Linked DNA regions of Nothobranchius furzeri. The protein of the gene in region 3 binds, or shares a complex with, the protein of the main gene of each other region. Links are inferred from orthologs where the notes say so. Each region holds a gene or a part of one and is shown on either strand. Other genes may lie near its edges. The genes, in order: orc2, orc3, orc4 and orc5.

Region 1 (4,162 bases), on a different chromosome or scaffold from region 3:
TTTGCCTATTTTTCTGTCCTGCCTGTTTATTATCTTCCTGCATCTCCTCTCAGTCCTAAAGAAAAACTGCTACCTGGGTTCATATATATTCACCTTATGAGTTACCTTTGAACTGCAGTTCTAAAAGATCTACCGACCGCAAAAACAGCGGAGTGCCGCTGCTCGCCGGCCGACTACAACGGGACCGTTTTTGCTGCGGAGTTCGTGCCGGAGCGGAGATAGTGGAATCTTGGGGGTGCGTCACCGGAGGACAAAACAGGTGAAGAGCCTCGCTCCGCAGCAGCGAAACGCATCAGGCACAAATAACAGACAGAAAACATGAAAGGAAATGAGCCGACATGAACGATCGCGTGTTTAGTTAGTTTTTGAGGTGGTGACACCTGATTTGGCGGTGCTCTGGACGCAGATGTCTGGAGCGCGTCAACGATCAGAGCTTTGCATGCGCAAACTGGTTAAGATTAGGATGGGGGTGAGGGGAAGGTTAAATTGCAAGAGGGTAAAGGTCACAGTTTGGTTAAATGTCCGTTTTACCGCCGGTGTCAGTACCGACGCTCTGGCACAGCGCGTCGCCTCCGCCTCCCGACGCAGGGGCTCATCACCTGCTGGAGGACTGCATCTTGTCAGTCATTATCACGTGACAGCGACTAGTCGATGACAGGCATAAAAAGTCACTACAGAGCCGTGAAGTCGACTAGTTCATACAACCCCTAGGGAGACGTTTTAGTAGAACAGAGTCAAACCGTAGGAAAGGGCACGCCGCCACACTCACTGCAGCTGTAACATCCATTTGTTAAAGTGCTTCCTGTGTTTGTCGTGCAGCTGCTGGATCTCTTTTGAGTAGCAAGACGGTTTATCTTCTAAAAGACGATCCAACGTCTCCTGTCCAAAAAGTAAAAGAGGTGGAGTTTAGCCAAAGGTTTATTATAATGGACTAACATGTAACTTTTAATTCACACACCCGGTCAAACTTAGGGGTGTGCAAACGCTGGAGGGTCCGGTCCGACGTCAGGACCTTTGAGCTGCCATGAGCCTCAAAATACTCCTCGGTCATGGTGGGCTGATTCAGAGGCTCGGCTGTGTTCTTGCTCCTCTTGGCAGGAGTCTTGTAGAGAGCTGCAGAAAGCCCTTTACTAGGGGTTCTCGTCTTTTTCACATTCTCCTTGTCCTCTTGCTTCCCTCTCTGCTCTTCTTTGAGCTCGTCCTCCTCAGAGTCAGAGGGGGAGAGTTCACTGTCGCTGTCAGACCGAAGAGTTGGTGCTGAAAATAAGCCCCACCACACCCAGATTACACCAGCGTTACTAAACGAACACAACTACAACAGGCCAGGCGTACCTGTAAGTCTCTTCCTGAGTCTGTGAGGGGTGGTGGAGACAAACCGGACACTCTTTTTCTGTTTCAGGAGAAACAAAACTAAATTAAAACAAACTAAATCCTTCACTGGATAAAGTGAAATGTATTAGCTCTCTCACCCTCTGTGGTGTCCTGTTTTCACCTGCGTGGCCTAGACAGACAAAAGTAAACCTGATCATTTCATAATGAGAGCACAGGCGGACGGGGAGTGGGTTCGCTCGACTCACTGCTGCCTGTCCGAGAGGGAGTGGTGGGTTCCGAGTTTGTGTCCCTGGTGAAGCTCACGCTTTTTCCCGGGGTCCGAGCCAGTTCGCTCGCTACGAAGGGAAACAACAAAACAACGGTTTAATAAATGCAGCTGAAGATGAACGTTGAGCCTTCGTTCGAGAGGTAATCGGAGATTCACCAGTTTGGGCCAAGCTGTGACTTCGTTTGACTTTCTGGAAGGTGAAGATGGAGGAACCAGCAACTCTAGAAGGATTATCGTCTACTTCTGTGAAGCCAAAGAACATATTAGTGGCATTAAGAGACATTTAGGTTCATGTTATGGCTTTATTAGGTAATGTCAAAATACTAAACTCGATGATCTACAGTGGCACCGAGAAGACAGGAGGCAGGGCAGGTGAAAATGTTGAGATTGTCTTCAGGAGTGACAGGATCAGGATTAGAGGGACTGCGTTAGATGATTTGAAATAAGATCAGGCTAAGATGGTTTGGACATGGAGGAATCTGCAGAAGGATGCTCAGGCTGGAACAGCCAGGCAGGAGTCGTGGAGGAAAGCCAAAGAGCAGATTTATGGATGGAAGAGTGGAGGATGAGGGTGAAAATGCAGCAGGACAAAACCAGAACCAAGGAAGGGATACCTTCATCGTTTTCAGTTCCTAAAGCTCGGACATAACCCAGCTCATCATGGACTCCGTTTTCATCTCCATCACACCGAGTCTCCTCCAGGCATTCCCTCTGTCCAGCCGGGCTCTTAAACTTCACCATCCTCAGCCCAGAGCCAGCACTGCTCTGCAATACTAGTCACAACACACACACACACACACACGCGCGCGCGCGCGCGCACACACACACACGCACACATAAAACGAGAGCGAATGGGCAAAAAACAAAACAGCAGAGATAAACCAGCTCATACCCTCCTGTTTGTCCACGATGTGCTCCAAAACATCCCCATCCCCAACGAACTTCACCTCCAACACGCTCATTTCTACCAATAAACACAAAACACACGATACAAGCCTGAAGCCACGCAGCAAAACACACAATTAGCCCTGCTACTAGAGTCGGTTTGAACTCTCGCGCTAAAGCTGAGGAAAGTGAGCGCAAAAGGTCGAGACTTACTCAAACGGGCGGAAAAAGTCCGCAAAACAATATAAAATTTAAAACATAAACAAAACTTTAAAGTCGGAAAGTTTAATTGAGAAGCGATGTGACAAGTTTCCGCGCCATTCTGAACATTTTAAATCACGTGACTGAGTGGAAAGGTCATAAAGTGGCCAATCAAAACGCTAGTAGCAGTAAAACTACGTTTCCCAAGAATCCTTTCAACAAGTCCGCCTGTCACAAGTCCACAGACAAATAATATTCAAGTCAGGTATTCTTACTCTAATTCACAGCAGTAGAAAAAACTTTGTACAGGTAAGATCAAATGTAATGGACACAATATGACACGCTTAAGCACAGAAAAGAAGAAGTAGTGAAAATAATGAAAATAGAACTGTGAAAATAAAGTTTAACGTTGTAAAGAAAAGAAAGAAAGAGAACGATCTTTTCTCTCAAGTTAAAAATCACGAGGCGCTTCACAAAACCAAAAAATTCAAGTATAAAAAGATTTAAAAAATGATTACAAATATGTTTAAAAATAATATATGAATTATAAAAATAATAAATTAGGATTAAACCAAATCCTAAATACAAGGATTGACTGGATACTGATTAAAATACTTTAATGATTCAGGTTGATATCTGATCTGACATTAGTTAATGTCCATATTTCAAGTTACATTCAGTTTGTGGTCATTTTCAATAAGAATCACATTTCTTGGTAATCTGTAAAGGGCATTTTATTGCCATGTTTATTTTTTTCATTCAGTTTCAATTTCAAGTAGTCTTGAGAATCAGTGTGTGTCACGTTTGATGCTGTGATTATTGTTTATTTAGTATTCATTCAACTCCACAATCCGGTTAAAGATTCACTAAAGAAAGGGGATTTAGATGTCTTGCTATTAGTTAAGTCTTTTCGTTCTAGCGGCCTCAAATATTATTCTGAAATCTGTCTACGTGTGTGTGTGTGTTAGTGAGCACTTTCCCTCTACCAAGATGATCCATCCCACCGCATGTAGAAAAAGTTTCAGAGGTTTCAGTTCAGCTCATGAAAAATGGGAGCAAAAACAAAAGTGTTGCGTCTATATTTATACTGACAAATTTGTTCGTGAGAATCCAGATTTAGAAAACTATTTAACACTTTGGATTCACTTTTGCTCATTGAAACAGTTTATTTTTTCACCTTTCACTACAAAAATTTAGTTGATACAGTTTTACACAAGACAATATCTGCACTTTTTTGACAAGAACATCTTCAATTCTGTATGAATACAATCCACCATGTATAAAATCTCCTTTATGTGGATCTAAATTCCTCCTTTAATCTTCTGGATGTTATTCATTTTTATGTCTTCCTCGGAGATCTCATGGGGCGAGGCAGGGAAATACACTCGCTCATAAGTTTGGGTTTGTTCTGGTTGATAATTCCTATTATATTGATTTAAAATAAAAACTGAAATGACTGAGCTTTAATAAAAAACT
Region 2 (4,024 bases), on a different chromosome or scaffold from region 3:
TTGAACTACCATCCAGCTGCTGGAATTTGGACAGTAGTTCCTCCAGTTGGACGCAAGCACTCTTCATCTGAGTTGACCTGATGGGCTGCAGGATTTCTGCACATTTCTGCAGCAAAGAGATCAGCTCGTCTTTCGCCAGCATCCTGAAGAAAAAAGTACAAAAATACTGACCACCAGGGGGAGGAACACCTCTAAAAATCCCACAACTTTGTCGCCACCTAGTGGCAAATCTAACTGGCTGCAACTGAATGGAGAGATGGCATTGCGTTTACATCAAAATAGCTAAATAGAAATGCCTCAAAAAATAAAAAAATTACAAGTTTTATGTTGAGCTCAGCTTACTTTAAAAGATTCACAGCTGACTGGTACTCCTCCGCCTCCCACACGTTCTTCTCCAGGCAAATCAAGTGCAGCTCCCTGATCTGCAGCAGTAAGAAAAAGGAGACTCCAAAAATCAAAGAACGAAGTGAGACCAAAGCAAAAAGATGGTTTAAATGAAAGTTTAAAACTGTTTTCTTGCCTGTTTTCCGAGAGGGTATCGAGGCAACGATGAGGTCAGAGTGTGGAGACACCTCAAAATGGGATAATAGCACTTGTGGTATTTGTGAAGATCCTTCATCAGTTTTTGACAAACGTTCTAAAATCACAAAAAGGATAAAATCCTGTGCACAAAAAAAAAGTCGTCTAAAAACTGAAATCTTTAACAAACCTTTAAATGAGAGTCATCCGTCCTGAGCTTTTCCTGCTCTTCTATTTCTTGCTTTTCCACAAACCTAAAAACGAATTTTAACACAAAGAGCTTTTTTTTTTTTCATTCAGTTATAGAAAATGATCATCTCAGCTGGTTTTGTTCACCTCCTGAACGACGGGAGCTGCCTGACCCTCTCCAGGTCATCATGGCGAAGGTGTTTCAGGTTCAGCAGAGCCTTCTCCTTCCTACAGCACAGCACGCTGAGGGGCTGCGAGTAAAAGTGCTCCAGCAGGGCCAGCTGCACCCAGGACGGGAAGATAGTCGGGAGAAAATCAGTCCCTTACATTTACATACCTTACTCGTTTAGACCCCGATCCTCACCTGCAGGCCCTTAATGAAGTTTTTGACTGAGAAGTCGTGGTAGAGGAAGATGCCCACCAGCACCTGCATCACTTTCCCGTTGAGTTTGAAGGGAAAAGAATGTGTCAGGATCAACTGGAAAGAAGGGATGGACTTTTATCAGATTCAAAATCTTCGATCAGCATGCACAGATGTCACGGTGAAGGCACCTTTTCTATGACGGTGGTGAGATGCTGAGAGCAGGACAGGGACTGGAAGAGCTCTATGCACAGCAGCGAGGACACAGAGTGAGGCAGCATGTGCTGGATGGTGCTGGGCGCCGTGGCGATCCCGAAGATAAACATCAGGGGAAGACGCTGAACGTAACGGCTGTGGATCAATCATCAGACGCAGTTTTAACCTTCCAACGTAAACCGTGAGAGCTTCTCACGTGTCTGCTCTAAAGTCACCTGCAGACAAGGATGAAGTCCTGAAGAACTCTCGGATTAAAAGCTTCCAAATCTTTGAAGACGATCACCACCGGAGGCTCCTGCTGCTCGTTAACGACCAAAGAACTGCGCTTTTTTCCGGGAGTTCCACTGCTGGATTTCTTAAACCCAAGAAAACGTTTGTTTTCACCTCGCCGAATTAAAAACCTGCATGAGCGGACCTGCGTCGTGTCCTCACCTTTGTTTTCTTACTATACCAATCGCAGAGAGTCGTCAAGGAGCAGTGAACACTCCTGTGGTGCTGCTCCGTTTCCTCCTCCACCTCATCATCATCATCATCACCTACAGCTACAACCGTGTCCATCAATCTCTCCAGAACCTTCTTCATCAAATGCTTAAGAGCTGAAATAATAAAACCAAAAAGTCTACTCCTGAATATTGTGACATTTACAGTAAAATCCTGACGCGTTTGTATATTTTGAAGCTTTTCCCATCACCTCCACACTCTTTGGCTTGCACAGACGCCACATGGGGGGTGACAGACGTCTGGAGCAGCTCAGACAGACTCTGGAAGGTCATGTCATGATCTGTGACGTTCACGCCTGCAGTGAGAGATGAAAGTCAAATGCAGCTTGCGGGATTTTTGTAATAATGCAAGTTAGCAGCTTGAAAAAACAAAACAATAACTACTGGGTACCAAGGATGAGAGCGGCTGTGGGAATTTCACTTGCTCTCATCTGTGAGGTCCAGTCACTGTGATGGCGGATGGAGGAGCATTTTTTGGTGAACTCCAACAAACTGTCCAGAACTTTTCTGTTGAGCTCATCCTGTAAAATCTTATTTAAAAAAAAAAGATTATGCTGATCTGCACATTCTCTGTATTTTTTTGATATTATAATTTGTTCTTACTTCTGTCTCAGTTTTGATTTGGTCCCACAGATCCTGGCAGAGCTCGAATCTCAACTCACTGCTCCGTGCATCTTCACAGCCATCAGTGAAATAGCTCTCTGTGTAAAAATACAGACACGTTTATATCGCAACAAACAGATCCAACTAACAACTCTTCTCTGTCTAATGTAACATAGCTCACCCAAATCAAGGGTCTTTTTCTTCTTTTTAGCGCTGGGCTTGAAAACAAAGCAGCCCTAAAGGGACACAGCAAAACACAGTCGAGTCTGACGCAAATATCGCGAGGTCTCCATTTTTGTTAATAGAAACGTCGTTGAACGACAACAAGCTATAAGAAGTTACCTTTGAAACAGAAGAGGTGGCCATCTTTCTTCAAACTCTTTGTAGTAGTTTCTTTTTTAAAAAAACGCTACTTTTCATGAAACGTAGCCGCGACTTCCCGCCAGAGTGACGTTTACGGAAAAGGTTGGAAGTGTTAGAATGTATGGCAAGCCGCTATAGCATATAATTAGATGTAGCCGCTATAGCATATAATTAGATGCCGCCATAGAATATAATAGACAACAAAATGTAACCGTGATCACACACATATATTTTATTTTGTGTGTTTATATTTAAATATCACAAAGCTGTCTAAAAATTGAATGACTCAAATATTAAACACATTTTCTGTGTATTATAAAATGCATGTAATCCACAATGTGTATTAGTCTTGTTTACCACATCTTTTAGTTTTAGATTAAAAGTAATTTGGCTTTATTTGAATTTAAATAAAAATAAAAATGGAGCTTGTTATAAATTCAGAACAGCTTCATAAACTACTTATGAATAAAGTAAACATATTGACAATACATTATGAATGTGATTCTGCAGATTATAATAAAGTATAATTTAAATCTTTTAAACTGGCTCTAGCTTCGTCCAATTTGTGAATGCTGCATTTTATCCCTTTCCCAGAATCTTAATCCTTCCGTGTACAGCACTTTGATCATGCCGTTTTTAAATGTGCTATAAATTAAAATGGTTTATGAGATCATCTTTGAAAGTTTATTTAATTCAAGAAGTTACAATTTCATGAATAACTGGGTTTAAGCAGCTGTGTTGTTGTATTTGTAGATCAAATTGATGACATTTTTAAAAAGACAAGATTTCACTCGTGCTTTTATAAAAAAGAACCAGTAACATTTTATTGAACACTTTGTGGAAGACATGTAAATATTACAGATAGGTCTACTAGTGTTGAAAAGGGATGAAATAAATACAAACAGGACTCGAAATCCCATAGGGATATTTATAAAAACATAGTTTTCTTTAAAAGGTGTCCATTTAGTAAAAGAAAAAAAACATATTCAGTACTAAGCATAAATACAAACATGGTTCTAAAATCTATGCCCTATAGCTTACCTGGTTATTATAACTAACATACATAGTTAAAATCATCAGAGACATATTTTTTCAATTAGGTACAAAATAGGCCATTTCATTGTTAACTGTGACCATGACTGTTAACAGTTGGAAATCTGATGCATTAAGAAACAAATCATTCTGCAGCATAACGTCTCAAATCCTGAGTAAGACAGGGTAGGAAACAAAAAGACAACAACAAAATGAGCTATGATTCACTAAAAATCCTCTT
Region 3 (4,248 bases):
AAGGGTGGCTTGCCAACTCCGGGTCGGGGGAGAGGTCCTACCTCAAGTGGAGGAGTTTAAGTATCTCGGGGTCTTGTTCACGAGTGAGGGTAGGAGGGATCGGGAGATCGACAGGCGGATTGGTTCGGCGTCTGCAGTGATGCGGACGCTGAGCCGATCTGTCGTGGTGAAGAGGGAGCTGAGCCAGAAAGCCAGGCTCTCGATTTACCGGTCGATCTACGTCCCAATCCTCACCTATGGTCATGAGCTTTGGGTAATGACCGAAAGAACGAGATCGCGGATACAAGCGGCCGAAATGAGTTTCCTCCGTAGGGTGGCCGGGCTCAGCCTTAGAGATAGGGTGAGGAGCTAGGACATTCGGGAGGGACTCGGAGTAGAACCGCTGCTCCTCCGGATCGAAAGGAGTCAGTTGAGGTGGTTTGGGCATCTGGTCAGGATGCCTCCTGGACGCCTCCCTGAGGAGGTGTTTCGGGCATGTCCTGCCGGCAGGAGGCCCCCGGGTTGACCCAGGACACGTTGGAGAGGTTACATCTCCAATCTGGTCCGGGAACGCCTTGGGGTCCTGCCGGAGGAGCTGGTGGAGGTGGCCGGGGAGAGGACGGTCTGGAGCTCCCTAGTTGGGATGCTGCCCCCGCGACCCGGATAAGCGGAGGAAGACGACGACGTGTGGACGGGCTCACCGTTATGCTGGCATTCCACTCCTGAGCAAACTTCCTGTCCGGGAAGTCGCCCGGCAGGCTGAGCTGCGTTTGGACACGCTCTAGGTACTGAGTGAATGTCAGGCTGCTCAGCAGGTAGATCTGACGGTGGGAAAACCGCGACTTCACCCGCTTCTCCAGCAGCTCAAGGACATCCTAAAGAGAACGAATCAAAGCTCACATCCTCTGACTGAATGGTGGGAGATGGTAAACTGGTTTTCTCAGACTCACCAGTCGACACGTGAGGCCGACCACAGCGATGGGCGCCTGGGCGGACTGGGAGACGTCAAACAGGTTGTAGAGCAGGGTCTGGTTCTTATGATGGGCGAAAAGGTCAAACTCCTCCAGAACGAACAGAACCGGACGGCTGCTGCTGCGCTCACCTTCGGGAGACCAAAACCAGCACTCGGCACTGCTTATAACAGCTAAACATTCACATTTACAATCCGTTTGAGAAACTAACCTTTTTTCAGTGCGTCCAGGAGAAAAGCTAAATTTTCTGCAAAACTTCCCTGAAAATGAAACCAAAACAACGTTTTTGCGTGGATTCTCTCGCAGGAACAGCTAAAGCTCTGTGTGAAAACTCACAAACACTTTGTCACCAACGACATTCTCCAGGTGGAGTTGTCGGGTAATTTCTTTCAGGGCTATTCTGTCGTCTGTCTGCAGCAGACCTGCAGCAAGCACAATACATCTCAATATCTGGTTCCAGCAAAAAGTCGGATTCAGAAGCATTTTTTAGATTACCGTTGAGATGAACCTGAAGGAGGTTTTTGTGCACTTCTGTTTCCTTCATCAGCTCCCTCAGCACACACTTCAGCAGCTACAAAAACTTACCGTCAATACGTGGCAACCCTTCCAGAATTTAAAGCTAATTAATCATATTTTAAGTGTTTGTTACGTTTAAGCCTGTAGAGACTCACCGTGGTTTTTCCAGCTCCTCTGGGACCGACTATTAGCACAGAGTTACTCTCCCCGTGGACAGCCGTTCGTTTCAGCAGCTCCGCGAGGTGTCTGCAGGCACATAAAAACATAAAACTGCTTCGACTAACAAGTGAAAACTGTTAAATCTTCAGAGTTGCAGGTGGATTTGAGTTGAAATCAGCTGGGAGCTTTTATCCTACTGCAAACTGGGACAGACCTGTCATCCAGGCCTGACTCAACTGGGTCATCTTACGTAATCTGAACCCCGAGTTTTCACTTTATCACTAAAAACTATGTTTTCAAACATTTTGCACATAAAATTATTTATTCTTAAATTATCCTCAGCAGCAAAATAACTAGAAACCCAGCAGAGTTCATCTGTTTAATGATTTTTGTGTCTTATTTAAAAAAAAAAGCACCAACTTGTGTTGAGCTTCCACTCCCTGTGGTCTGTCAGGGAGCTGCTGATGGCAGAAACGCCGCCTCAAAATCTGATGAACCTGCAAATAAAAGATAGATTTATGTATTTTTGCACTTAAAAGTCATAAATGAGTGTTTTCGTTAACCACACCTGGGTGATGCATTCTCCTACAGGCAGATGGGCATCTTTCACTTTCCTCTTGCTCATTATGAACTGTGAAACATTGTAAATGTCAAACATTAACACTGCAACAGTGTAACCAATTATATGCAGTTTATTAAGTTTTCTAGTAAACTCAGAAACCTGTAATTTAAGCGTTTGTTCATAAAATAGATGCACTTTCAAATACGTATGCTCACATGACAGCTTAGCTTCTAATTGCCCATCATTTTATGGTAAATTGCTACAAATTACAATATAATAAAGATTTCAGTGAGTATTATATGCGCCGAATTAATAAACAAATACTTTTTTACAGAAGATCATTCCAAGTTGGCTCGAATTTGCTTCATATCAGTCAGAAAGGAGGAATTTATACATTTCTTTTAACTTCACCATTTAGTTTGGCAGCAATTATGTCTACTGGTCTCAGCTCGTGTCCAGTGCTCTCGGCACGAGCCAGCTGGCTCTACGTCATACACTTGGTGTTTAAATCAGGTCTGTTTGAAATTAAATTATGTTGTTTCTCAATAAAAACGTGTACACGAATATAGTTGTGGTAAATATAGATGGCTTACCTGAGATTTCGTCGTGTGCAAACCTTCGCGGGAACGCAATGATGACGACTTCCTGCTTTGGCTGGATCTCCTTCCTGATTGGCTGAGACAGAAACAAGCAAAATAAAGCGAAGATGAAGTTTGAGGTAAACGGACGTAAGAATGGATGAATGCGTAAAAGCTGCACGTTAAATTAAAATAAGATTTCATAAATAGCTCTATTTTTTCCAATTTTTTATAACCGAATAAGAGATACGTATTTTAGACATAAAAGCTGTAGAAGTTTGAATGTTGCCCCCTACTGGCATAAAAAAGAGCTGAATTACCAAATCAACATCTTTTAACATAAAAACAAAATACCGTATTTATACTTAATTATTAACTATCTTGTTTAACAGTTGTACAAAACGTTATAAAGAAAAAAATGTTTTTCGTAATTTAGTATATTTGTAAAAACATTTAATCCTGAATAATTATTTACTTTTTTCAGGTTTTGTGATCTTGCCCTCTCCATTGAGAAGTCCTGAATAATAATAATAATAATAATAATAATAATAATAAATTAATTTACACATGTTCTAACTTTTGGTAGTTTTTTCATAGTTTTAAACATCTATCTGCTGAAGTTCATTCTAAGCTTAGACAGATTTCGTGCTGCATTTTTACAGTGATCCTGTAATGTGATCCTTTGGTGGGAAATGTGCTGTGAACAAAACACCACAACAAACTTCAAAATGTTATTTTTAAAAATCAGGATGAAACAATATACCCAAAAAAAGTCTATTTAGTCAATGCATTAGTGTTTTAAAAATATTTTCTTATATGAAAATCATGTCAATACTTAATTTTTAATGGCAACACAAATAAAAGAGACACAATAACTTGCTTATGTTGTTTAACTTGCCTATGTTAAAATCTAAATCACTTTTATGTATTTTATTATTTATGTGCATCTAAGGTTTTTGGCTATAATTGGGGTAATTTTAGCGTCTTTGAGCTAGCAATATTATTTGCCAAAATGTTAAAAATTAACAATTTTTCTGTGACATTTGTAAATCAGCTTTGTTCAAATATTCAGCTGAGTGTCTGAGCTGACAAAAAATATTTTTCTGCTTCACTCATTTATCTTCTTCTCAGGTTGGACCTTCAGAGCTGAGCTTCCGTGTATTTTGTTGATCTTTATTAGCATTTGTTTTAATTACGCTATCTTAGACTATGTATTCTCAATTTTAACATAGTTTGTTTTTATTCAATATGTTATTAGCTGTTTTTTTGTGAAACCCTGTGTCTTACATAAACATAATGTGTTTTCGGTAAACTTACTAAAAGTGGTTTCCTACACCAAAATAATTAATAAAAAATTTCTGTATTATTTGTGTTTTCATGTGTCCTCATGTTTTTGTGTATTATAAAATGTTCTTGTTGTAGTGAAAATGTTTTGTGTTTATTTACATTTTATGACAGGCAAATAACTGTGTAGTTTGTGTTG
Region 4 (3,560 bases), on a different chromosome or scaffold from region 3:
TTTTTCTAAAACTGATGAAACTTGTGTGATTTTTTAAAGTTTGTTTACTACAAATTTGAATATTTGAGATCGTTTGTAATTCATATCAGCCACAAGGGGGCAGAATTATAATCAGATTAATTTTCCTCCACATAACAGAAGTCTGGACCGTTTATTCTGCCAAACACTTGTCTTGAAGTGTGTTCCTGCACGCATAAATCTTTCATATCTTACCATCATTGTGCGTCTTCTCTCCTTCAGGCCCCGCTGGCTCACAGGAAGTCGTACAGATACTTCACAATATCAAAGTTCACAGTCCTGAAAAAAAAAAAAAATCACACCAAGCACATTCTCCATAACACTATAAAAGGTCACATCCCTTGATTAATTTGGCAACTCTCTGTCGTGTGATAACAGATAACACACACACACACACACACACACACCTGGATATGGCAGAAATGAAATCCAGAGTAACTGCACACTTGTATTTTGGGGCATCGAGTTGGTCGTCATGGCTGATCTGAACCAGCAGCTGCAGGGTCACCAGAGAGGAGATCTAAAGGGAGGAGGAACAGAATGATTCTCTGATCCTGGAACAGACGGCTGATTCACTTTGACACAGCAGCTCTAAATATTGGAATGCAGAAACACAGATTTCCTGAAGGCATTTTAATCAGAACTTTTCGTAGATCTGAGGAAACCCTCTGTTTATTAAAGGTGCAGTATGAGATGTTTTTCTGGAGCTTTTATTCCATTTGCTCGAAATGCTCTTCACATTTCCCATCTCAGTGGCCTAGTGGTGTGTCCGCCCTGAGACTGGGATATCAGTGTTCAAATCCCAGTCAGATCAAACCCAAGACTTTAAAAATGAGCCCCAATAACTTCCTGCTTGACGCTCAGCTTTAAGGGGTTGGATTGGGGTTTAAAACACCAAATAGTTCCCAAGTGCAGCCACAGCTGCGGCTCACCGCTCCCCACGGGGATGGGTCAAATGCGGAGATGCAATTTCATCAGCATGTGATGATGACTAATGGACTTTAACTTTTAAAATATCATCACCAACCAATAAATATGTGTGTGTGTGTGTGTGTGTGTGTGTGTGTGTGTGTGTGTGTGCAGCAGAGAAGAAACATTACATTAAAAGATTTTATTCATCTAAATACCAGAATCATGTATTATTTATTTTGACTTCATCAGCTTAAACTCAATTAAAATCCTCTTTCCATGAAAGCAGTGGATGTAAAACACTGAAAATATTTTTTTGCAGGAAACATTCATCAGAAACAGTAAAGAGCATTTGTAAAAGGGAAATCATTTTTTAATGTTTAATGGCAAAAAACAACGGGTGGCCAAATATTTGCAACAATGCACTTTCTTTGATTGCTTCTTTAAACGGCAAAATCCAAATTTAGAATGTAATTTTGCTTAAAATATTAAAAACATGTTAGTTTCTTCAAGTAAGTTAAATAGGTGTTTAGAAATGCAGGAAAACACTAATTTAAAGGCTTTGAAATATCAAACCTCTGGATTAATTTTTTTAAAGGTTAAGGTTTAGTCTGTATTTTACAAGTTAAAGACACAAAACACCCTTAACACCACCAGCAGATAAAAGCCTTTGTTCAAATGTTATTTAAAATAGAAACTCATTAATAAAATCTACTTCGATGTAGTTTCAACACAACTCTGATAAAATTAAAAAATCTTTTCTACAACTATGTTGTCAGTTGGTATTGAAATGTAAAAGTTTCACTTTATTTGACTAAAGTTTATTTTTTCAGTGCTCGTATTTTTAGATTTGAAATTGAAATCCAGACAAAAATGACATTTTAAGAAGCAAAATCTTCTTTGTGTGAAAGAAAAGCAAAAACTTTTTGGCATAAAGGTTTTTCCTCACATTTTCTGAACAGAAATGTTAATAAAGTACTCCTAAAAATGATCAGACCTGGGAGAATATGCTAGCAGTCGGGGCCACTCTGCTGTCCACCACACTGTAAAAAATGGCGAGTAGACGGTCCAGAGGAAAGGGCTTCGGCCCAAGAAGGTGGTTACTCGTCTAAAAGAGACAGAATTCAATTCAATTCGATTCAAAAATACTTTATTAATCCCAGAAGAAAATTGATTAATTTCAATGGCTGATGTTTTAGATTTTAGGTGAGTTTGACCTCTCACCTTTTCATTTTTCTTCAAGAAGTTTGTTTTTCGTATTTTACCGTGATGCTGCGAGGCAGAAAGGGAAAACACAGCATCTTAAAACCAGTTTAGGAAAATAAAATAGCAGGTATGTAATGAACTGTAACTGTTCTACCTTCACAAAGAAGCGTTTATCAGTGCGAGCCGGGTTGTAGGAGGCCAGGTAGGCAGCAATCAGCAGGAACTTGGAGTAATAAGGAAGTTCAACATGAGTGTGAGCTGACAAACCTTTGAAGGAAAAAAACAATTCAATTCAATTCAAAAAAACTTTAATCATCCCCGAGGGGCGATTGTTTCAGTACAGAAGAATTGGTACTGTGGTCATTCGCAACAAGAGTCGCGCTACCGTTAGATAATAGTTGAAGAGGGGATTACATGAGGAGAATTGGGAGAGGGAAAAAAAGGCCGAGCAGAGTTGTGACAATGCTGGATCCTCATGGGCTGTATTATGGTAATGCCGTATAGACGGTGTTTAAAAATAGCAACGATATCAGTGACAATACCGTCCTGAAAAAAAAAACCGCAGTGCACTTAGATAAGAATGAATTTTTTTAAAACAATTTAATATGTAAAAAGTAAATTGATGTGTAAAACTGATGTATGGTTGATTTGTCTGTTTTATTTAAATAGTGATGGCAGACTATTGGGAGACATTCCACAAAGTTTATGAACATGACGCTGTCATGTGACAGTGCAGAGGAGAGAGAGAGTGCAGAGGAGAGGGAAAGAGAGAGAGAGAGAGAGAGAGAGAGAGAGAGAGAGAGAGAGAGAGAGAGAAAGAGAGAGAGAGAGAGAGAGAGAGAGAGAGAGAGAGAGGGGGGGGGGGGGGGAAGATAGCAGGTCCCACATTCACTGACTTGGTGTAAAAAAATAGAAAAATAAATAAAACTGTTTCTGAAGTTTGGAAGTAATTCGGGTTCAAAGCAAATGATAAAAGAGAGCCGATGTTATGTCAATCTGCGTTTCCCCTTCAACGAACGTTCCCGTGCATAAAGAGGTGACGTTGGGTTCCGTCGGCACTGCAGAGAAACAATCTAGATATGAAGCAACAGCTTATTTGAAGCCTGTTATTCAAGGAGATGACAAATCACTTTTCTGGTGGAAACATGCTGCTAGTCTCTTCCCGAGAGGTCGTGACTGGCTTGAAAGCTTGCATCTGCACCACAAGCTCACATCGGAGCAAACTGTCAGCACCGCAGGGAAAGTTGTTGGTCCATAACCTGCAATGTTGAAGCTAGAAAAGAAAAATGCTGTTTTTTTCTGGCAAAAATTATTTGTAATAAGCTGTATTTTTTTTATAAAAGGTGTTAATGTTATTTTTTCAGTAATAACAGCGTTTGGGATTCAGTTTCTAAATGGTGAAGGTAATGTTGCATCATAATTTTTGT

What was found.
Region 1: the proteins of orc4 (region 3) and orc2 are in contact, whole or in part, in a cryo-EM structure (PDB 7JPP), measured with the Homo sapiens proteins. The link is inferred for Nothobranchius furzeri from reciprocal best matches to the Homo sapiens genes ORC4 and ORC2. Residues at the interface, in NP_001177808.1 of Homo sapiens: Lys168, Asn169, Arg195, Glu200, Leu201, Lys204, Arg205; in NP_006181.1 of Homo sapiens: Asp501, Asp504, Tyr508, Ser512, Gln518, Glu522, Val554.
Region 2: the proteins of orc4 (region 3) and orc3 are in contact, whole or in part, in a cryo-EM structure (PDB 7JPO), measured with the Homo sapiens proteins. The link is inferred for Nothobranchius furzeri from reciprocal best matches to the Homo sapiens genes ORC4 and ORC3. Residues at the interface, in NP_001177808.1 of Homo sapiens: Pro370, Lys374, Glu377, Gln381, Ser392, Gly393, Asn394, Ser395, Gln396, Arg397; in NP_036513.2 of Homo sapiens: Thr227, His260, Arg261, Leu262, Leu263, Pro264, His265, Ala266, Ser269.
Region 4: the proteins of orc4 (region 3) and orc5 are in contact, whole or in part, in a cryo-EM structure (PDB 7JPO), measured with the Homo sapiens proteins. The link is inferred for Nothobranchius furzeri from reciprocal best matches to the Homo sapiens genes ORC4 and ORC5. Residues at the interface, in NP_001177808.1 of Homo sapiens: Ser18, Gln21, Arg22, Arg25, Glu26, Cys29, Arg30, Gln31, Arg69, Thr74, Asn100, Leu102, Leu103, Gln104, Ile105, Ile109, Glu113, Arg116, Asp162, Arg277, Met281, Met284, Leu285, Asn288, Met311, Asp312, Ser313, Lys314, Asn316, Ile317; in NP_002544.1 of Homo sapiens: Ile17, Ser20, Leu21, Phe22, Gly23, Glu24, His26, His27, Phe28, Ser29, Phe30, Pro31, Tyr36, Gly37, His38, Thr39, Thr98, Phe99, Asn100, Val103, Arg104, Arg131, Glu134, Asn136, Pro139, Gly140, Arg143, Gln145, Glu146, Leu147.

The regions. Positions count from the first base shown.
Region 1 is NC_091751.1:63,947,911-63,952,072, reverse strand, and holds the start of orc2 (origin recognition complex subunit 2), read right to left. Parts: upstream 2,836-4,162; 5' UTR 2,699-2,835; exon of another isoform or gene 2,565-2,698; 5' UTR 2,563-2,564; coding exon 2,493-2,562; intron 2,374-2,492; coding exon 2,215-2,373; intron 1,844-2,214; coding exon 1,757-1,843; intron 1,668-1,756; coding exon 1,578-1,667; intron 1,502-1,577; coding exon 1,470-1,501; intron 1,391-1,469; coding exon 1,333-1,390; intron 1,258-1,332; coding exon 959-1,257; intron 880-958; coding exon 770-879; intron 1-769. UniProt on the Homo sapiens protein: Component of the origin recognition complex (ORC) that binds origins of replication. DNA-binding is ATP-dependent. The specific DNA sequences that define origins of replication have not been identified yet.
Region 2 is NC_091758.1:29,126,567-29,130,590, forward strand, and holds the start of orc3 (origin recognition complex subunit 3), read right to left. Parts: upstream 2,851-4,024; 5' UTR 2,755-2,850; coding exon 2,731-2,754; intron 2,625-2,730; coding exon 2,570-2,624; intron 2,487-2,569; coding exon 2,389-2,486; intron 2,316-2,388; coding exon 2,177-2,315; intron 2,082-2,176; coding exon 1,977-2,081; intron 1,882-1,976; coding exon 1,718-1,881; intron 1,641-1,717; coding exon 1,501-1,640; intron 1,421-1,500; coding exon 1,261-1,420; intron 1,187-1,260; coding exon 1,073-1,186; intron 990-1,072; coding exon 856-989; intron 774-855; coding exon 710-773; intron 638-709; coding exon 521-637; intron 423-520; coding exon 343-422; intron 144-342; coding exon 10-143; intron 1-9. Other genes in the region: znf292a (zinc finger protein 292a), read right to left, coding at 4,001-4,024. UniProt on the Homo sapiens protein: Component of the origin recognition complex (ORC) that binds origins of replication. DNA-binding is ATP-dependent. The specific DNA sequences that define origins of replication have not been identified yet.
Region 3 is NC_091743.1:85,852,353-85,856,600, forward strand, and holds the start of orc4 (origin recognition complex subunit 4), read right to left. Parts: upstream 2,855-4,248; 5' UTR 2,781-2,854; intron 2,257-2,780; 5' UTR 2,251-2,256; coding exon 2,194-2,250; intron 2,123-2,193; coding exon 2,046-2,122; intron 1,713-2,045; coding exon 1,622-1,712; intron 1,522-1,621; coding exon 1,446-1,521; intron 1,373-1,445; coding exon 1,287-1,372; intron 1,211-1,286; coding exon 1,162-1,210; intron 1,082-1,161; coding exon 930-1,081; intron 855-929; coding exon 681-854; intron 1-680. UniProt on the Homo sapiens protein: Component of the origin recognition complex (ORC) that binds origins of replication. DNA-binding is ATP-dependent. The specific DNA sequences that define origins of replication have not been identified yet.
Region 4 is NC_091741.1:42,954,378-42,957,937, reverse strand, and holds part of orc5 (origin recognition complex subunit 5), read right to left. Parts: intron 2,401-3,560; coding exon 2,288-2,400; intron 2,200-2,287; coding exon 2,152-2,199; intron 2,036-2,151; coding exon 1,925-2,035; intron 539-1,924; coding exon 426-538; intron 298-425; coding exon 252-297; 3' UTR 214-251; intron 1-213. UniProt on the Homo sapiens protein: Component of the origin recognition complex (ORC) that binds origins of replication. DNA-binding is ATP-dependent. The specific DNA sequences that define origins of replication have not been identified yet.